Linked DNA regions of Arabidopsis thaliana. The protein of the gene in region 1 interacts with the protein of each later gene in a pairwise test. Each region holds a gene or a part of one and is shown in the gene's direction. Other genes may lie near its edges. The genes, in order: SFP1, AT1G76185, ABCB16 and AT2G22425.

Region 1 (7,867 bases):
AGATTCAGGAGAATTTAAGGCAAGTAAGTTGGTTCTCTATCTAATGTTCCAAGGGTCTTATCTATGTACTTCGTTTCGATGATTAATTGATGTAGTTAGTAGTTTCAAATTCCAAACGACTATTTGTATGTACAATTACATATGGATTAATTGTCAGATAACATGTTGAATTCTAACATGTTTCTGTCTATCCGATTTTAGATTAAAGTTGTTTATACAAAATTTTAGACAACACTTAAATTAGTACTATCGTTAGTTATATAGTTCCATTAATCATTTCTCCTTCTGTATGGTTTATTTGGACAGATATGTCATTAAGCGTTTAAAAATATTTGTAGATTTGATAATTTGTCAAAAATAGCATTTATTGATATTATAGTTGATCCGTACGCGTTACGAATTCTTTAGTTGACCTTTCTTTTTTTATAATCTCCTAATATTTAAAATTCAGCAGCAGACTGATGAATAAAATTAAATACTTGGTTCCATTTCTAGATGGTAACAGGTACAAATATAGATCCTCACGTAAGAATAATAACAACGGAGGACAAAAACGTTAAATTATGATTAATTAAACATTTAATTAAAAGTATTAGCAAACTCAATCAAAGAATGACTAAAAGGTTCTAATAACTTGTGAGGTATTTAAACAAGTTAATGTAAAAAAAGAAACAAAAAGGTTGAAACGTACGGTTTTCATCCAATGATTATGAATGACTATAAATGATTGTTTTTTCTACATCAAATATGGAGTTCCATCGTCATCCAATTTTCTTTTGGTTACGAGTGAAAACTTCTTAAAACACCCGAATATAGGATCTGATTGATAACCAAAAGTTGTACAAGTTTTTTAGCTGTTAACTTTATCGAAATAGTGCAAAACTGTTAAAAGAGCTGTATAAAAAAACTGTACAAAAAATCTAAGAAGAAAACTTTTTGTAACGTTTTTGATAAAGTTTTTGTGATTGATAACTATCAATACTGTACAAAGCTGTATTGTGTTACCATTCAAACTTATAATGTTATAGTCTTGGAGAGATATTTTTTTTACTCAAAGATATGAATTTAAGTTAAAATATTCCATAATCCAAACCAGCAATATATACACATTAATATAATTTAAATTGCATGGAATTCAAAATAATACTTATCGTGAATCCATCTAGATACGTTGAGATAAGGGACCAATCAACAAGAGAAGACGTCACTTTTACAAGTTGAGAATAATCTTTCAGAGAGAAAAAAAGAGTAACTGTCGATTTTTGTTGATCCAAGGTAACGTATATGTCCTGACTCAGATTATTGCTTCCAATTATATGTGAAAAGAGCTTTCTCCACATTGACATATAACTAGGATCATTCGCTATAGACGATTAATCGTTGTTTATAATTTGTTATAAAAAAAACTTTGGTATTTTAAAGAATATGTCAATATTTTTTTCATACTACAGTATTTTTAATTCGTCAAACTATTTAAGAATACGCTCATGACAAATGATCATATAATAATAATTTAAATAGTACTTGTATTTATTTTTTCAAGAAGAAAACTTAGTTGAATGAAATTTGACTTAAAATGATATAAAGGGTTTGAATGGTAACCATTTTAATAACAATACAGTTTTGTACCGTTTTGACAGTTACCAATCACAATTTTTTTATCAAAAACGTTACAAAAAGTGTTTTACTCTCAGCTTTTTTTATACAGTTCCTTTTAACAGCTTTGTACTATTCCGATAAAGCTAACAAATAAAAATTTTGTACAGCTTTTGGTTACCAATAAAACCCAAAGTCTTACAAAAAAGGTCTTACGCGTCCACGTTAGCTTTCCAATCCAACCCTTAATTAGAAGTCTTCACCATTTGCTGGTTAAAGGATATTTTTTCAAAGTGTTTAGCATTTTGTATACGTCAAACTATTTTAGAATCCAGATGATGAATGATCATATACTAATACTTAGCTGTATTTTTATAATTTAAAACAACAAAACTTGGTTTAATGAAATTTGACTTGATCTTGTTTAAAAAAACGTCTCACGTCCACACGTTAGCTTTTCCAATCCAAAACCCCTAAAGAGTAGAAAACCAAAATAACCATTTTTAATTCCCAGCCTCTTTTTATACGTAGTCTAAATTGACAAACACATCATTCGCTCTCTTTCTCTTCTTTCTCTAGCTCTCTTGGTTTTTTGCTAAAAACAGAGCATTTTCTCTCTAGCTCTCACTGTTTCTTTACCATAAGTTTCGTCATATTAGTACATGCAAGTGTAAGGGATGGTGATGGAGGAAGGAAGAAGCATAGAAGAAGGGCTTTTGCAGCTCAAGAACAAAAACGACGATTCAGAGTGTCGTATTACTGCTTGTGTTATCCTTAGCACTTTTGTCGCCGTTTGTGGCTCCTTCTCTTTTGGTGTTGCTGTGAGTTTTCTACTTTACCTTACTTTGATTTTTTCTTCTTCTATAGAAGAACAAATGAAAACAACAAAATTGTATGAAAAGAAAACATACTTCATAATTACGTTATACCTATTTTCTTATAGTTTTTGTTGTTTTTATACAGACTGGTTACACTTCAGGTGCTGAGACAGGAGTTATGAAGGACTTGGATCTTTCTATCGCGCAAGTATGTCTCTCTTTTACGGTTTTTCTTCTATTTCTAAAAACATGTATTGAAAATTAACCAAGTAGCAAATTTTATCAAAAAAAAAAGACTAAGGCCATGAATGTTTGTAGTTTTTAAAATGGTTTTTGGATTTTGGTTTTTAGTTTTTGATTTTCTTGGTTTTTGTTTTTGGTGTAGATTTTAGTTTCTTAAAAACTTGAATGGTAATTTGTTTAGATTTTGGTTTTTATGTTAATGGATTATATTTTATTTTACAAAAAAAATCTAAAAATAAAATAAAAAATGTGATCGATGGTTTTTTTATAGAGAAACTCTCAAAACATAGATTTTGATTTTCTTTGAAAAGTTGTTAAAACACTCAAAAACTAGATTCCCTATTTTTTTAAGAAAACTTGTTTTTTCAAAATTTTGAATGGTTACAAAATAGATTTTAGAAAAAACTAAAACCAAAAACTAGTTTAAAAACCACATCCATTCAAAGTTAATTCTTTTATACTATCATCCTTAAACAAACAAACAAAGTTTTGTGTATAATTAAGCAACTGAGAGCGAGTGACATATTGACATATGCAAAAAATAGCTAGGTTAATTATCGTTCAATTTTTATCAAAATACAAGCTTCACATCATTTTTAAATCCGTAAATATTTGTTTCTTTATTCATTCAAATTGAAACAAACAACCATCAATTCTAAAGAAGAAACATATAGATTGTCGTTATCCCATTGAGTTGATTATACTTCTTTGTTGGTGTGGTTCACCTCCTTTTTTACCCATTTTTTAAACTCTTATCATAACCCTACCAAAACTATATATATATATTATCCTGATATATATGGAATTGTCGAAATCATCCAAAAAAAAACATTATTTATCATAATAATAACCCTACCAAAACTATATATATGCACATATATCCTGATATATTGAGCGGTTGTCAAAATCATCTTATAAAAACATTATCTAGCTATCAACGTTTCCATCGTTCCAGAACCATTCTCCGGCCAATTCTCTCATCTACAATAATAGAAATTTGAAATATTGAAATATTATATATATATATATATATATATATATATTAAAAATAATAATAATAATACTATATATATGAAAACTATATTTGTTATAAATCATTTTTTTCTCAGTTTTCAGCTTTTGGCTCATTCGCCACTTTAGGAGCTGCAATTGGTGCACTGTTCTGCGGTAATCTGGCAATGGTCATTGGCAGAAGAGGGGTAATTAATTTAACCATTTCACCTTTCATATTCGTAATTTTACCATTCTTCTATTTTTTTGGTTCTTTCGTGACTATAATTTTCGTATATATGATGCTTATAATAATATTTTTGCTATTTATGATATAATAGACAATGTGGGTCTCCGATTTCCTATGCATCACTGGTTGGCTCTCCATCGCTTTTGCTAAGGTACTACTAGTTATTTTCTATTCATAAACATGTTTTTTTTTTCATTCAAACATTATTTCTTAGAAAATAAACAAACCAATTAATTTATGGTTATTATAAACCCAATAATTAAATTTATGTTATGTTTTGGAATACAATAGGAAGTAGTGTTGCTGAACTTCGGAAGAATCATTTCAGGGATAGGTTTCGGCTTGACGAGCTATGTGGTAATTAACTTATTATTATTATTATTTAATATCATCTTTGTAAGTTTGTTTTCTGATCTGTAATTTTTGCTTATTTACCAAGCAGGTACCTGTCTACATAGCAGAAATTACGCCAAAACATGTTCGTGGTACATTTACGTTTTCAAACCAGGTAATACTTTAGGTTTTTAGAATATTTATAAGAATGAGTGCTGACAAAAAAAAAAAATAGCACAAACTAGTCTAAGACAAACCAACCAAAATCCAAATTAAAACTTTTCAAAATTTCTCGTGAGTATATTGATCCTTGTTTCATTCTTGTGTAATTATTGATTATTAGCTTCTTCAAAACGCTGGACTCGCCATGATTTATTTCTGTGGGAATTTCATCACTTGGAGGACGTTGGCTTTATTAGGTAAGACTATAAATTCCATATTCATCGTGAAAAAATTGTTTTGAGACGTAAGAATATGTTAAATGTATAGTAGAAAAAAACTGGAAATCTTCAGCTGTTATATTATAGCAAATCAACTGATAAAAATGTAATACGTTTTTGGTTTAGGTGCTTTACCATGCTTCATTCAAGTAATCGGTTTATTCTTCGTGCCAGAGTCTCCAAGATGGCTGGTTGGTCATTTAATTTTTCTTTAGTGTTTTACGTAATTTATTAATTATTATCAACCATGAGAAGAAAAAAATTTAAACCAAACTATTTTCATTTTGAAGGCCAAAGTTGGCTCCGATAAAGAACTAGAAAATTCACTGTTTCGGCTTAGAGGAAGAGATGCTGATATTTCACGTGAAGCCTCAGAAATTCAAGTGAGTTTTACTATATACTATTATCAGTTATAATTTATATAATTTTCAATAAATATACATTCCCTTTTTCTTTGAAATTATATTTTCATTCCTTCACAAATAAAAAAATGTAAAGTCTGAATAATTCTGTGTTGTTTTCAGGTAATGACCAAAATGGTGGAAAATGATTCAAAGTCGAGTTTTTCAGATTTGTTCCAGAGAAAGTATAGATACACCCTCGTGGTACGTACAAGTACATCAAACTAATTTCTAGAGTATCAAATTTTCATATTTAATTTATCTGCACAAGCATTCATTTTTAATTAATATCTCAGGTAGGAATCGGGCTAATGTTGATACAACAATTCTCAGGAAGTGCTGCTGTAATCTCTTATGCAAGTACCATTTTTAGAAAAGCTGGTAAGCATTCATTTATTTTTATTAATGTTTAATTTTATATTAAAATGTCAGAAATAATAATAACTATATATATATTATATGACAATCTGTTCAAATCTGCAAGTGAAGATTTGCATAGAAGTTTCAGTTTCTCTGAGAATGTTTTTTTTTCTAACAAAACATATTTTATTCTACCAATCAATAGATTATGGGCAAAGGTCCTGAACTCCTAAGATTTCTCAAAATAAAATTAAATTGTGTATTTATTTTGTAAAATGATGCCATTAGCTCATTCTAAATACTTTAAGAGAAAGGGTTTTAGTAAATATTTACCATGAGTTCCTCTTTCCATTTTTTTTTGCTCAATAATTGTTCTGGATGGAAACAGGTTTTTCGGTGGCCATTGGAACGACGATGCTAGGTATCTTCGTGGTAAGTATATATAAATGTTTTTCTCAAATTTTGTTTGACTATATGGATGCAAAATTTAAGAAATGAAACTACGTCTCTGAAATCTGTTGTTATTGAGCAACTAAACTTGTGTGATGTTATTTAACCTGGTATAGGTCGCGTTTCTAGGAGATATAGAATTTTTGGGTTTCAACTTCCAAATATTCAAAAAAAAACAAAACTTGTGTGATGTTGGCGTTTTAATCGACATTTTATCACAGTTGAAAAAACGACATTTTTTATTTTGTTAAAATTTCGTACTTTAATGAACTCTTTGAACTAAGAATTTTCATGTACTAGTTTTTTTTCTTTTAACTCGTGAAAGCATTGAATGGTATAATATCTGGCTATTCGCAGATTCCAAAAGCCATGATTGGCCTCATTCTTGTCGATAAATGGGGCAGACGTCCTCTCCTGATGGTGAGCATGTCTTTAAATAATTTCTGGCTGTTCGCAGATTCAAATCTATTAGTCTATATTGATTTGATTACTATTTTGACATAGACTTCAGCGTTTGGGATGAGCATGACTTGCATGCTACTTGGGGTCGCCTTCACATTACAGGTTATTTTTTTTGTAAGATAATTACTATTTTTATTTATTCTGTTTTTAAACCAATAACTTATTTGTTTAACAATGTTTTTGCATGAGCAGAAAATGCAATTGCTTTCGGAACTAACTCCAATATTATCGTTTATATGCGTAATGGTAAGACATTATATCTCCTTGTACACAATCTTTTTGATGAAAATATTTACGTTGATGTTTCTTTTACATATAAAATATAGTTAAAATTGATATTTTTTAAATCGGCAGATGTATATTGCAACTTATGCAATAGGCTTGGGAGGTCTACCTTGGGTAATTATGTCGGAGGTACATAAATTTACTTCACTGTTAATTTTATTTCTATGCAGGAAGTAAGTAATATGTCTTGAAAAATAAAGTAATATATGTATGATTTTTGGTGTGTGCAGATATTTCCAATAAATATAAAAGTAACTGCAGGAAGTATAGTTACGTTAGTCTCATTTTCAAGTAGTTCAATCGTCACTTACGCTTTCAACTTTCTGTTCGAATGGAGCACTCAAGGTATTATGTTTTTCTTTTTCTTAATATCCATTTTATACAATTTTGGTTATATAAATTATCTTGTGATCAACAAAAAAAGTTATAACTTATCCTTTTTTTTTGTATATCGCATAGAAATAATCAATGATTAAGTCTAGAAAACTTATATAGTTTTCAAAGTCTGTGTTTATAGCATTTCAATGAAACCTCATATACATTTTATAACACAACTATTTGTTTATTTTATTTTAAAAGACTAATTAGTTAAATTTTTGGTTGAGTGAATATGTTATATAGTTTGTATTTATTTTATTTTCTCCTAATGTCTATATATATATATATATATATTATAATTGCATTTAATTTATAATTTTCTTATATAGTTTAATTAATGTAATAGGAACGTTTTTCATATTCGCGGGTATCGGTGGAGCAGCGTTGCTTTTTATATGGTTGCTCGTTCCAGAAACGAAAGGATTATCACTCGAAGAAATACAAGTTTCACTTATTCATCAGCCCGATGAAAGAAATCAAACTTAATTTGAATTATTTTATTTTATTATAAAAATGATCAAATTCAGTTTATGGTGTTATATTTGTTTATTTACAAACAAGGATTTTTTTTTTTCATTATGTAATTACTACTTTATTTTTCTGGGTAATTAGCCCCATTTTTATGATGTATATTTACGAGATGTAAAACTTGGCCTACGTACATGTGTATTTTATCTCTAAAATTGCAAATGTAATATTTTTCGGACATATATTAAAGAAGAGATTGATTTCTAGTATTGGGTAACTAGGGTAATTAATGATGAACAATAAACATGCGATTAATTAATCTAAACTGTTAAGTCCTAATATTGCTGTTTAATATGAAGTAGCTAGTATATTTAGAAAACTATATATTTCGAA
Region 2 (3,278 bases), on another chromosome or scaffold:
TTCCTTATTTTTTCTTTCTTCTATTCTATGCGTTACAAAATACAAACAAACCAATAAGAACTTGGTTATTTAATTCTTATCACGCTATGAATCCTCAACGATTAGGTGTTATTTTAACTTATTATTCACTAAACATGTTGAAGAGGCCAATCTAGTAACGCATGATCTTTGAAATTGTAAATACATGATCTTGGATACTCTAAACAAAAAAAAAAACAAATCCAACAAGTAATATAAGTCCGATTGGCTCAATCGATTAGGAAGGTGTTGTTGCAATGCTACCGGATCTCATTTTTAGTCCTAATGCTACAATAAGACGGGTAATTTGCGCTTGTGAATCCGCCAAAAGTATTATCAAAGAAATGATCGTGGACATAAACAAACTAAAACTAAAGATTTAGATTTTAGAACGAATAGAAAGTTAGCATCATCTTTTGTTTACCATTTTTGGGGCACATAAAACAATCTTTCGTAATCTCGTTTATGGGAAAAGGGTTTGTGTATGTATTTTTTCAACGTAAATGGTTATGTTTTCATGCAGTTTTTAAAGATAAACTTAGATGTAGATAATGAAATCATGAGTAGACAAATGAGCATAAGATGACTTGGATTTCTTATGAATTAATATGTTAATGTGTGGGATGTCATTTTCGACCTATTGAAAAAGATATACTAAAAATATTAATGAAGGACAGATGGTAATCGGTAAATGCATCATCTCTTAAAATTCGCCTAAAATAAAAAAAATGAACCGACGTGCCACATCAGTAATCTCTGGTCTCTAAATTTAACAAAGACGTAGCACGAACCGTGACGTATCAACACACATATCAAACAAACCTATCTTTTTCAATACTAACTTATTCGTCTTTTTGGTTCTTGTTGTCATATACACCGAAGCTCAGCTCTTAACTTATTCTTTGGATAATGTTTTCGGTGATAGCGAACCGACAAATTGTAGCCGACACTTAGAATTCACAACTAAACTATAGATTTTAAAATAATATTAATTAATTCGAAAGTTTGAGATATCTGAACAAAGTTTTCTGAAAAACGTAGAATACATATGGATCAAATACTATAATTCGAAAGTTTCAGATTAGTGCTAAGTAATGAACGTCATGCGTTTGTTCTTCTGTCGATTTCTTCTTTTTCACCGCCCGTCTGAGTTTTATGGGCGTGATATTTTCCTTATTGTGGTCAAATCAGGAATATTCAACAATATTTAGCACTCGCTTTACTTGGTGGGACATGAGAATCAATCGATGCATCGCTGTTTTATTTCTTTTTCTTTGATGTTTCTATTTCTGTTAGAACAAAGTTTTCATGATTCTTAAAAGCCCAAATTTCATGGCATCGGAACAAAGTTTTCATATATGATGACAACTCAAAACAAAAGAGTAACGGTAAAAGCCCAATACCCATAAAATGGGCTTAAGAATCCAGATCGGATCTATAACCCGACCCGGTTGTTGACACCGAGAGAGTCCACGCAACGTTCGCCGAATTCCTAACGAATCGGACACCGTTTCGTCGCTGTAAAATTTTGATGCGAAATTTTCCAATTCACAGATTTTGTTTTTCCATTGTTTTGGATTTCTAGATTCTAGTTATATGTTGGTGATAGATTTTTCCTACATCTCGTGATTCTCAAACGCTTCTTGAGCTCTTCGTCGAATCGGGACTGTGATCGGGACTTGGTGGAGAAGAAGCGATGATAACAAGATCGAATCTAGCAGAACAGCTCAGGGAATATCAGATTAGATCAAAGCATGATTGGGCCTCCGTTTCTTTCTTCTCTTCCACCTCCAATTTCTCTTCCTCCAGGTTAGAGATCTCCGGCTTATCCTTTCCTTTTTAATCTGCTGTGATTTGGAGCTGCGTGCTTAGAGTTGTATTTGAAAAATTGTACTTTGTGATATTTAATTCAATTGGAACCGTAAATTTCTCATCTTTTAAGGGATTGTCGTTGAACATTGGATATCTATGTGAATCCTACACAAGGAACTATAATTTTGACTTGTCCACGTTGAACCATCTTTGACAATTTGACATACACTTTTCATTCTTATCGACTCTGTTGCAATCTGGATTCTATTGTTAAATTTTGACAATGAACATTCTATAGTGGTACTTATGCTATTCGTTTCGTTTGCTTTTGATTCAGGGTTGATGTTGTAGTCTTTGTCATATGGGAACTAGTGATGTTAGCACTCGTGGTGTTTTCAGCTGTATCCTTGTACTTCAGGCGGTTGCAACTTGCTTTTATCCTGCTTTGTGTCACCTTACTATTACTCCTCTGTATGAAAATCACAAAGCAAGTGAGACATGCTAGGAAGAAGAAGCGAAGGATGCTTCTTCCTCTCTCTATGTAAAGACCGAAACCATTGAGCTGTTGCGAACCGTTTATCTTCTCACACAACCAAACCACAACTCTTCTCTGGCATGAGTTTTGTGCCCATATGCATTGATGAAGATGACAGCTAAGCTCAGACTGACTCTGGGACGCATCGCTTTTGTCCTTTGAAGAATCGACCTGAACTTGAGATATGAAACCAGGGACTGCAATTTCAAGGCTTAGCTTAGACAAATCAGAACAAAAGTGCTGTAAAGGTTGTTTTCCTGTATAAAGTAGTATGGGAGGTTGCTTTATTTTTCCTAGGCACGATCACGGATTGTTAACTTGAGCGTTTTGTGATTAAAGATAGTTTTTCCATCTATCTATGTTACACTTAATATCATGATGAAGTGATTTAGATTTGTTGGCTGTAAAAAGTTTTTAAAAAATGATTTGCAGGATTTTCATGTGACGAGAAAAAGAAAAACAACGAACACTCATGAAAGTAGAAGAGAGAACTATAAAATGAAAAGTAGCAAGCAACTTGCTCGAAACGCTCACATGTTTCTATCATTACCTTTGCGCTCTGCAACTACTTTAGTATCTTGTTAAAGAAAAAGTGGTAATAGTTAGTATTATTTGTAATGTTATGGTCTGTCAATACACTAGCTTAGCTTGATTTGATTAACTTAATTTCCAAATAATGAGATACTGTCTACATGGTGATATAGCTTTGTCAAAGTTCATTAATGACAATGACAAAAACAAGTGTGTTAGTAACCAAGATAATTGCATTTAGTCGTAATTCATGTTTTGAAACGGAAATAATTAGAAAGATCGAAAATCTCTAGATATTTGTAGAAGGTCAGTACATAACTCCACGAGTGGTCGTGATCCAATTTGTGGACAAATTTGAAAAGCAACTAAAAACAATCAAATA
Region 3 (7,775 bases), on another chromosome or scaffold:
GATGTGGAGGATATGAGGAAAGAGTTAAGCAGACATTATTTAAATGTCATCTTTCACTATAAACGTGGGTCTTATCTCTAATCTCATCGGCTTTTTAATTAGTTATCTTTGGAAAAAAATCAGGTTTTTGAAATTTTGTAAGCGGACAAAGAAGTTCATTTGTGATATCTCACATGGACTTTCGTGAGCCATCAGATATTTCAAGTCATACTATATCTGATTTCAAGGCTTGGAAGGAAGCTCAATTAACTTGCCGATGTAATAGTTCAACTGGTAAGGTCCATAACACATGAAAATTTTCAAGTGGATGGATCTTGGAAGGATTGCCAACCCTAGTTTTGTCTCTCTTTATTTAGAGTTTTTAAACCATGTTTTTTGAGGGGATCGAGAGACTAGATTTTGAGACTGATTGCGCGGAGTTGATCAAGATGATGCATTGTCTTGTTGATTGACCCGTCTTCTCTAGCTTTCTAGATGAGTTCGGACTACTTGAAATCCTTTTATTGTTTCTCGTTTTTTTCAGAAATAATTATTGTAATTGAAATTATAGAATGTATTGCATATTTTGTTGAGTACGTACTTTTCTATTGATTAATTATAAGACTTTGAACTACAAATCTCTTGATAGAAATCACACTTTGGCAGTGGAAAACATGGAATTATAAACATGGTGGTAGAGAGGAAGCATTGATTATAATATTTCACTTCCATATTGTATATTTCTTGGTTTTCTGGTTCACTATCGAGTCGTTTTTACTGTCTTCTTTGGTGGGCAACATGGAATCTTTAAAAGAAAGAGCATAATCTAAAGAGATTAGCAATCACTTTCATAAAGTATAAGCTAAAGAGATTAGCAATTTACTATTGTTTCCAATCAAACATTAAACTTTTAACAACACTCCCAGAGTGATTGTCCATATAAGATTTCACTACAGAAAATGGATGACGTCGATTTACCAGCTTCACTTCGTAAACCAACGTAAAATTTTTAATATATGAAGGTCCATTAAAATAAATGTCCACTACATAAATCAGAGTCTAAACTGTTTATTTGATTTATTAGCTTATGCTTAAGAACTTTTACGAGCTTCTTTGTAATTGACTTTAAAGCGAGACAATATTAACGTCATACAATAATACGACGGTCTCCAAACTGACGGTAGAAGTTTTAAGTCAGCTTATATATAACTGACGTTACACTTAATATTAACCGACGTAATTTGCCGTGTTCTCTTTGTAATGTTGCGAGAAAGACATCTATAAAAATTAGATCATAAAATTTGAGTCTAGAATAACATGCTAAACAATCTCCTGTACTATCTTTTTAAATCGAGTAGTCGCTGGTGACGTCCACAAGAAAAATTGCGGTCATTTTGCCAAATCATGAGAAGTCCCTTTAACTTTGCGAAAGTATGCAATAAAAACTCAAATAAGTATGTTTCCTAAAAAAAAAAAAAAATTGTATGGTATGAGAAATTTAAACTATTTTGATATTGACGTTCGTCGTTATGTCGTAAAATCAAATCAATATCTTTACAAAAGCATTGTGAATTAATGAAGAAATTAACCTAATTGTTTATCAAAGAAAAAGAAACAGCAATACACGAAAGTATTTGAAGTTCATACACAAATTAAATTTTGAAAACTAATTTATTAGCTTAAAGCCTTGAAGTACTCAGCATATATTATTTTATTTGTTTTCTTGTAGCTAGGTTACTGAGCCTGGTTCGCGTCTTCGCGAGGAGTTGTATAAGTTTTACCGAATTAAAATAGGTACTGCAGGTATATAACAGATGTTAACAAATAATATTATATATATCATATCATATCACTTTCGGTGAAGTCGCTCTGTCTCGGCTACTATATATAGAACAATCAGGAAGACGGAAAAAATAACATTACACTTGAAAAAAATCCACAAATATAAATGAAAAGAGAGAATCTTTTGTTCTTGAAGAAAAAGAGAGAAGAAGATGAAGACATGGGGAAGCATGAGATCAATATTCATGCATGCCGACGGTGTAGATTGGATGTTGATGGGATTAGGGTTAATCGGAGCCGTCGGTGATGGCTTCATCACTCCTATTCTTTTTTTCATCACAGCCATGCTATTGAACGACTTCGGTAGTTTCTCTTTCAACGATGAAACCTTCATGCAACCCATTTCCAAGGTCCTTTCTCTCTATCTCTCTTCTTTTCTCTTTGTTTTGGTTTATATTCTCTCTAAGTAGGATCATAATACTAATTTAAGTATATAAGATTATATACAATAATACAATATATATATATATATATTTAAATTATAGTATTTTAAAAATTAAATATTACATGAATTGTTTTATATAATTTTATATTCTTTGAGTTGTAAAGAGTAAAGCAAATTAAGCAATGCTATTTTTTCATTTAATGTTATTTAAATTGATTTTGTAGGTTAAGGGGATAAACAAAAAGTTTTGTTTCATTAAAATTTAAATTCAAAGAATTTAGTTTAATTTCCATAGGATATTATATTCTATAACTAAAAAAGTTGGTAAGCAAGAGTTCGAGACTGAAAGTGAGAGCCATGCTAATCTCTAAAATGATGACTAAAATACATATATTTTTGCTATTTAATACGTTCATAGCCAATTTAAATAAAAATATTTCTCACATTCCCATAAATTAGTTACTACCAAACATTCAAAGAAGAAGCAGATAGACTGGATTATGAAGGGCGGGTCAAAAAGGCAATTGAACATTGGCTTACTGGGTGTAGTTAGATTATTTTAGCCAAATAAACTAGCAATAATCCAACAATTATGATAGAATTAACTAAATTACAATATTTAAATGAGTAGACTTTTTTTTTTCCAATGAGTAGACTGTAGACATAACAAGTGGTTTCTCATGTAATGATGACAGAGAGTTGTACAAATTCCAGCCAAGAAATTTACCTTAAAATGGAAAATCAAAACTAGACATGACCAAGTAGACCAAGCATGGTGGGATTCTTAATTAAAACGATCGGCTTATGACTTTTTCAAAAAATAAAAAACTATCGTCTTACATATATGTCCATATGTGTATGTTAAATAGGGATAGCAATAAGAGAAATGTGAAAACCCAAATATTTTATTACATAATCTTAAACTTCTTACTATAACTCAACGTGTAGTAAGATTACGATTACTATATTGCCCCACATATCAATTACATTACTTAAATATATAGGAAAGAGTACTAATATAGTATCTTCCTTCTTTTTTTCACGTTGTAACTAACAGAATGCTCTAGCCATGCTTTATGTGGCTTGTGCATCTTGGGTGATATGTTTCCTTGGTAAGTGTGTTTCTTTCAATTTTTTTTTTATCAAATTAAAATATTAATTTGGTGCACCTCAATATAACAAATTTTGTTTAATTTTGTGGATGGGTTTAATATTTAAAACAGAAGGATATTGTTGGACAAGAACAGGGGAGAGACAAGCAGCAAAAATGAGAGAAAGGTACTTAAGAGCAGTGTTAAGACAAGATGTGGGTTACTTTGATCTTCATGTCACAAGCACTTCTGATATTATTACCAGTGTCTCTAGTGACAGCCTTGTCATTCAAGACTTCCTCAGTGAAAAGGTTTTCAATTTTTATTTATCATATTTCTTGTTCTTAAACAATTTTTTTGATGATTTTGAATTCAAACAGTTACCAAACATTTTGATGAATGCATCTGCGTTTGTCGGAAGCTACATAGTGGGTTTCATGTTGCTGTGGAGACTCACAATCGTAGGCTTCCCATTCATCATTCTCCTCTTGATCCCTGGACTAATGTACGGACGAGCCCTCATTGGCATCTCGAGGAAAATACGTGAGGAGTACAATGAAGCTGGTTCTATCGCCGAACAAGCCATCTCTTCGGTTAGAACCGTCTATGCATTTGTTAGTGAGAAGAAGATGATAGAAAAGTTCTCAGATGCGCTTCAAGGGTCGGTGAAGCTAGGGTTGAGACAAGGGCTAGCTAAAGGAATTGCTATTGGGAGCAATGGTATAGTTTATGCTATATGGGGGTTCTTGACTTGGTATGGAAGTCGGATGGTTATGAACTATGGCTACAAAGGTGGTACTGTCTCCACAGTCACAGTTTGCGTCACCTTTGGTGGCACGTAAGTATTTAAGTTTAAGTCTCTTGGCATTTCCTAACACACAAAAAAAAAAACATCTCTTAGTTTTGATATTTGGTATTTTACATTATGCAGAGCACTTGGTCAAGCATTGTCGAATCTTAAATATTTCTCCGAGGCGTTTGTGGCAGGGGAACGGATTCAAAAAATGATAAAAAGAGTCCCTGATATAGATTCAGACAACTTGAATGGTCATATTTTGGAGACTATAAGAGGAGAAGTTGAATTCAACAACGTGAAGTGCAAGTACCCGTCTAGACCCGAAACCCTAATCTTTGATGATTTATGTCTGAAAATTCCATCAGGGAAAACTGTAGCTCTGGTTGGCGGAAGTGGATCGGGAAAATCAACAGTGATATCGCTTTTACAAAGGTTCTATGACCCGAACGAAGGCGATATTCTCATTGATAGTGTGTCCATTAATAATATGCAAGTGAAATGGTTGAGATCGCAAATGGGTATGGTTAGCCAAGAGCCATCGCTCTTTGCCACATCGATAAAGGAGAACATATTATTTGGTAAAGAGGACGCATCCTTTGATGAAGTAGTGGAAGCAGCCAAGGCCTCAAATGCTCATAATTTTATTTCGCAATTTCCTCATGGTTACCAAACTCAGGTTTAGACTCATATCTTTAGAGTAAATTTTTAAAGCCTTTTTTGTGTTTAGTTTGTTAATGAGAACGTATATTTGGTTTTTGTGTAAACCGAAAAGGTTGGGGAGAGAGGAGTGCATATGTCGGGAGGCCAGAAGCAGAGAATCGCAATTGCACGAGCGTTAATCAAATCACCGATAATTCTTCTCCTAGACGAGGCAACAAGCGCATTGGATTTAGAATCTGAAAGGGTGGTCCAAGAAGCCTTAGACAATGCATCAGTTGGTCGTACAACTATTGTTATTGCCCACCGTCTCTCTACCATTCGTAATGCTGATATTATATGTGTTCTACATAATGGTTGCATTGTAGAAACTGGATCGCACGACAAACTCATGGAGATAGATGGTAAATACACTTCTCTAGTTCGCTTACAACAAATGAAGAATGAAGAATCATGTGATAACACTAGCGTAGGTGTGAAAGAGGGCCGAGTCTCGAGTTTAAGAAACGATTTGGATTATAATCCAAGAGACTTGGCTCATAGCATGAGTTCAAGCATTGTTACGAATCTTTCTGACTCGATTCCTCAAGATAAGAAGCCGCTTGTGCCATCGTTTAAGAGATTGATGGCAATGAATAGACCAGAGTGGAAACATGCATTATGTGGTTGCTTAAGTGCATCCTTAGGTGGGGCCGTACAACCAATTTACGCATATTCGTCCGGGTTAATGATATCGGTATTTTTCCTAACCAACCATGAGCAGATCAAAGAGAATACAAGAATTTACGTGTTATTATTTTTTGGTCTAGCTCTATTCACTTTTTTTACTAGTATCAGTCAACAATATAGTTTTTCCTACATGGGAGAATACCTGACTAAACGTATCCGAGAACAGATGCTCTCGAAGATACTAACGTTTGAAGTCAATTGGTTCGATGAGGAAGAGAACTCAAGTGGTGCAATTTGCTCCAGACTAGCGAAAGATGCTAACGTGGTATATTTTCTGCCTTATTAATTTGACCTTCAATGAGAAATATATTTACCATTTATTGATCTTGAATTGCTTTGTCATGATAGGTAAGGTCGCTCGTTGGTGAAAGAATGTCATTGCTGGTACAAACCATATCAACAGTTATGGTAGCTTGCACAATTGGTTTGGTCATCGCTTGGAGATTCACCATTGTGATGATTTCAGTACAACCAGTAATTATTGTCTGCTATTATATTCAACGTGTTCTGCTCAAGAACATGTCGAAAAAAGCCATCATTGCCCAAGATGAAAGCAGTAAACTAGCTGCAGAGGCTGTCTCCAACATCCGAACCATCACAACCTTCTCATCACAAGAACGGATCATGAAATTACTCGAGAGAGTTCAAGAAGGTCCACGAAGAGAAAGTGCCCGCCAATCATGGTTAGCTGGGATTATGTTGGGGACTACGCAAAGCCTTATAACGTGCACCTCAGCTTTGAATTTTTGGTATGGTGGTAAATTAATCGCTGATGGGAAGATGGTATCAAAAGCATTCTTTGAGTTATTTTTGATCTTTAAGACTACAGGCCGGGCTATTGCCGAAGCTGGGACAATGACGACAGATCTAGCCAAGGGCTCAAATTCAGTTGACTCAGTATTCACAGTGTTAGATCGTCGAACCACCATTGAGCCGGAGAATCCGGATGGGTATATCTTAGAAAAAATAAAGGGCCAAATCACATTTCTCAATGTGGACTTCGCTTACCCAACGCGACCTAATATGGTTATATTCAACAACTTCTCCATAGAGATCCACGAGGGAAAGTCGACAGCGATCGTAGGTCCAAGTCGGTCGGGTAAGTCAACTGTAATCGGGTTAATCGAACGGTTCTATGACCCGTTACAAGGTATTGTGAAAATCGATGGCCGTGATATAAGGTCGTATCATCTAAGATCACTTCGTCAACACATGTCTTTGGTTAGTCAAGAACCAACATTATTCGCGGGGACAATCCGAGAAAACATAATGTATGGACGAGCATCTAACAAGATCGACGAGTCGGAGATTATCGAGGCAGGAAAGACGGCAAACGCTCACGAGTTCATTACATCACTATCAGACGGCTATGATACGTACTGCGGAGACAGAGGAGTACAATTGTCTGGTGGTCAAAAACAGAGGATAGCTATCGCCCGAACGATTTTAAAGAATCCATCAATTTTGCTCCTCGATGAAGCTACAAGCGCTTTGGACAGCCAATCAGAGCGTGTAGTGCAAGACGCCCTCGAACATGTGATGGTAGGGAAAACAAGCGTTGTGATCGCACATAGGCTTAGCACGATCCAGAACTGCGACACGATTGCTGTTTTAGACAAAGGAAAAGTTGTAGAAAGTGGGACACACGCTTCCTTGTTAGCAAAAGGTCCCACAGGCTCTTATTTCTCATTGGTCAGTCTTCAGAGAAAGGTCAGATATGTATAAATTATAAATTCACATATGTTTCACAAGCCTAAAACATGAAGCATGTTACCATGTAGACGTATTATTGGGTTTGTTAGTTGTTGGTGTAAAAATAATGCTGGGGTTCATTGCGTCTATACCTTTTAAAACCAAAGAACATGATCACTGTTGATGAAACTAGCTACGGACTAGTATTATTTCCTTCATCATTGCACGTTTGGTTAAGTTTCTAGACAAGTGGTTTCTTAGATCCTGAGAGGTGAAAAGTCAATGTCTTACCATCTTGGGACCGAGTAAATAAATCTTTCCTCAAGCAACCACAAGTGAGATTGGCTTTAACTAAGACACCTCCTTATCCTACAATGGATAAAAGAAAAACTTGTACATATCAAAGTTTACAGAAACAATAAACTTTGACAATGCAATCTTAGTCATGTTGACAGATTCTCCTCGCTTTCATAGCCAAGTGAGAACGGGTTCTCTGATCATCATCAGTCTCTTCACTATTATCGTAGCAGTCAAAGTACCTACCTATACAGATGCGGACATGCCTACATACTTTCAGGATGAGAATTCCAGGTAAAATAGATCA
Region 4 (3,078 bases), on another chromosome or scaffold:
TTTCTATTTATTAAAGAAATAAATTATAGAAATTGGAATGCCCACCACCACCAGAGACCACACTTGCACAAATTCCATCTATAAACACAAAAGCCTTTAGTATCATTCTCGAAAACCACCAAAAACCTCTTTATAACCCAACAAACAAAGTCTCTACTTCTTCTTCAATCACTGAAACACAACACCAAAAAAGAAAAAAGTATGTCTCTTCTTCCCCATCTCATCCTCTACCTAACACTTTTGACGGTGGTTGTTACTGGAGAAACTCTCCGACCAAGATTCTACAGCGAGACATGCCCTGAAGCTGAATCCATAGTAAGAAGAGAAATGAAGAAAGCAATGATCAAAGAAGCAAGAAGCGTCGCTTCCGTCATGCGTTTCCAATTTCACGACTGTTTCGTCAATGTAAACACTATAAATCTTTCTCTCTGTTCTTGATCTTTACTCTGTTTTCCTCTCTGAATTTTTCTTTGAATCATCAAATTCAGGGATGTGACGCATCTCTGTTGCTTGACGACACACCAAACATGCTTGGTGAAAAACTATCACTTTCCAACATCGATTCACTAAGATCTTTCGAAGTCGTTGACGACATTAAAGAAGCTCTAGAGAAAGCTTGTCCAGCTACTGTTTCTTGTGCCGATATCGTTATCATGGCCGCTCGTGACGCCGTTGCTCTTGTAAGTCAAAATTCAATTTCCCCGGTTTAGTGAAATCTCGGTTTTGTAATTTTGGTCTTTGAAAAAACCAGACAGGAGGACCAGATTGGGAAGTGAAGCTAGGGAGGAAAGACAGTTTAACAGCGAGTCAGCAAGATTCCGACGATATAATGCCAAGTCCAAGAGCCAACGCAACTTTCTTGATTGATCTCTTCGAAAGATTCAATCTTTCTGTAAAAGACATGGTTGCTTTATCAGGGTCACACTCAATAGGTCAAGGTCGGTGTTTTTCAATCATGTTCAGACTTTATAACCAATCCGGTTCTGGTAAACCGGATCCAGCTCTTGAACCGAGTTACCGTAAGAAGCTTGATAAGCTTTGTCCTTTGGGTGGAGATGAGAATGTGACTGGAGATCTAGATGCAACACCTCAGGTTTTTGATAATCAGTATTTCAAAGACTTGGTTTCAGGGAGAGGGTTTCTTAACTCTGATCAGACTTTGTACACGAATCTAGTGACGAGAGAGTATGTGAAGATGTTTAGTGAGGATCAAGATGAGTTCTTTAGGGCTTTTGCAGAAGGCATGGTGAAGTTGGGTGATTTGCAATCTGGGAGACCTGGTGAGATTAGGTTTAATTGTAGAGTTGTTAATAGAAGGCCTATTGATGTATTGCTTGTATCTTGAATTATCATTAGTAAAGAGAAGAAATCTTAATTATGACTTCTAAATTGATGCAAATCTTTTTAGCTACATGCCATGGATCTTGGTTCTCCAAAACTTTGATTTTGGTTTATGAATACTGGTCACTGCTAAAGCTACAATCTGGTCACACCAGTCTATAAAATAGTAAACATTATCTAATCACTGAAGTTGTTGTCCCAATAAACAAATTATGGACTGGACAAGTAGCAACATTCTAATTCTGAGGTACACACAAAGAAACTTAAATGTAAATATTCCTTGTTTCAAGGTTTCAGAATTTGCACATATACAAAATCTCGAAATAATTAAGGCACATTAAAAACCGCCGGTTCACCCGGTTATAGAGTAATCTGACCGTCCACTTTATCCGGTTTACTTTTAAACCGATTTTGTGGTCTTAGCTCATAAATGTCAAGAGTCCTTTCTTTTCTTCCCCATTGTTGAAAATCAGGTTTACAGATTCAGTGAGAGATCAGATCGCTAAAGGTTTGTGCAATTAGGGTTCTCAGATTCTCTCTTTTGTTTAACTTTGGATTCAAATCGCTAATGGTTTTTGATTTCGTTGTGTAGAAGAAAATGGATTGGCAAGGACAGAAACTGGTGGAGCAGCTGATGCAGATCTTACTGGTGATCTCCGGCGTTGTAGCGGTGGTTGTTGGCTACACAACGGAATCGTTCAGGACGATGATGCTGATCTATGCCGGTGGTGTTGTTCTCACGACTTTGGTTACTGTACCTAATTGGCCTTTCTACAATCTTCATCCTCTCAAATGGTTAGATCCGAGCGAAGCCGAGAAGCATCCCAAACCAGAAGTTGTCAGTGTTGCTTCGAAGAAGAAATTCTCTAAGAAATAGGTCTGATTCTGAATCTCTCTCTCTCTCTCTCTCTCTCTCTCTCTCAGAATTGTTTGTATGAGATATTTGTGGATCGGAATCTTAATTATGAATTGAATATTCTGGGTTGATTCTTATAATTATCTGTTTTTGCCAAAGGAATTTGCTTTTGAATCAATGGCTATGGCTGTAATCTGGCAATTTCACTGAATTGTGTAGATTATCTATCATCAGAGAGTTTTAGATGAAAAAGTCTTATGAATCACAAAAGTCTCAGTTTTTATGAAAATGGTACATAAATATCACACCATCCATTTACACTCTGTGTTAAGCTTGTGTGCAAAAACCAATGCTAGTCTTTGATGCTTTGCTCCTTCTTATTTTCTTGAGTCGAAGTAGAAATAGTTTGTGTGATTCCAAACTGTTCCGCTAGTCGCTGGTCAGAGGATTTGCACGGGTTCATATTCCGGGAGATTCGAGTCATCTGGCGAACGCGAACGCTTAAAGGTAGGTCATAGGCTTATGAAACGAAATGACAGTTGAATCAGCGAACGCGTACAGGTTTGGAATCAGAATTTGAGAGAACCAACATTTGGCAGGATGCTTGTAAATGAGCTGTGGAGAAAAAGGAGTGGTTTAGTTAGGTCAGCATTAGGAAGAAGCAGAGGATATGAAAAGTATACCTTCACCAGAAGGATGAAGCAAATTCACAAACAAAGAGAGAGCTCTCCGGAAGTAGCAATAGCCAAAATCTACATGGTATCGCAAAAAAAATACATCATGTGGATAAACAATAGAGGAAAATTCAGTGATTGTAAGAAACTAGTCAACTCTAGAGACAAAATCAAATACAAGGTATATATGACAAACGTATATCTTGA

The links.
Region 2: the proteins of SFP1 (region 1) and AT1G76185 interact in a protein complementation assay, tested with the Arabidopsis thaliana proteins (one large-scale study listed by BioGRID).
Region 3: the proteins of SFP1 (region 1) and ABCB16 interact in a protein complementation assay, tested with the Arabidopsis thaliana proteins (one large-scale study listed by BioGRID).
Region 4: the proteins of SFP1 (region 1) and AT2G22425 interact in a protein complementation assay, tested with the Arabidopsis thaliana proteins (one large-scale study listed by BioGRID).

The regions. Positions count from the first base shown.
Region 1 is NC_003076.8:9,646,685-9,654,551, forward strand, and holds SFP1 (Major facilitator superfamily protein), read left to right. Parts: upstream 1-1,823; 5' UTR 1,824-2,273; coding exon 2,274-2,417; intron 2,418-2,559; coding exon 2,560-2,622; intron 2,623-3,766; coding exon 3,767-3,856; intron 3,857-3,988; coding exon 3,989-4,048; intron 4,049-4,188; coding exon 4,189-4,254; intron 4,255-4,339; coding exon 4,340-4,405; intron 4,406-4,573; coding exon 4,574-4,649; intron 4,650-4,796; coding exon 4,797-4,861; intron 4,862-4,960; coding exon 4,961-5,053; intron 5,054-5,194; coding exon 5,195-5,275; intron 5,276-5,367; coding exon 5,368-5,452; intron 5,453-5,819; coding exon 5,820-5,863; intron 5,864-6,238; coding exon 6,239-6,301; intron 6,302-6,385; coding exon 6,386-6,445; intron 6,446-6,535; coding exon 6,536-6,589; intron 6,590-6,697; coding exon 6,698-6,757; intron 6,758-6,858; coding exon 6,859-6,973; intron 6,974-7,352; coding exon 7,353-7,492; 3' UTR 7,493-7,742; downstream 7,743-7,867. UniProt on the Arabidopsis thaliana protein: Sugar transporter.
Region 2 is NC_003070.9:28,588,783-28,592,060, forward strand, and holds AT1G76185 (NADH-ubiquinone oxidoreductase chain), read left to right. Parts: upstream 1-1,542; 5' UTR 1,543-1,714; coding exon 1,715-1,827; intron 1,828-2,167; coding exon 2,168-2,375; 3' UTR 2,376-2,749; downstream 2,750-3,278.
Region 3 is NC_003074.8:10,610,500-10,618,274, reverse strand, and holds ABCB16 (P-glycoprotein 16), read left to right. Parts: upstream 1-1,913; 5' UTR 1,914-1,973; coding exon 1,974-2,171; intron 2,172-3,263; coding exon 3,264-3,318; intron 3,319-3,429; coding exon 3,430-3,608; intron 3,609-3,677; coding exon 3,678-4,135; intron 4,136-4,228; coding exon 4,229-4,769; intron 4,770-4,865; coding exon 4,866-5,744; intron 5,745-5,827; coding exon 5,828-7,204; 3' UTR 7,205-7,251; downstream 7,252-7,775.
Region 4 is NC_003071.7:9,513,140-9,516,217, forward strand, and holds AT2G22425 (Microsomal signal peptidase 12 kDa subunit (SPC12)), read left to right. Parts: upstream 1-1,555; 5' UTR 1,556-1,849; intron 1,850-1,933; 5' UTR 1,934-1,939; coding exon 1,940-2,218; 3' UTR 2,219-2,535; downstream 2,536-3,078. Other genes in the region: AT2G22420 (Peroxidase superfamily protein), read left to right, coding at 202-405, 489-680, 752-1,345. UniProt on the Arabidopsis thaliana protein: Component of the signal peptidase complex (SPC) which catalyzes the cleavage of N-terminal signal sequences from nascent proteins as they are translocated into the lumen of the endoplasmic reticulum. Dispensable for SPC enzymatic activity.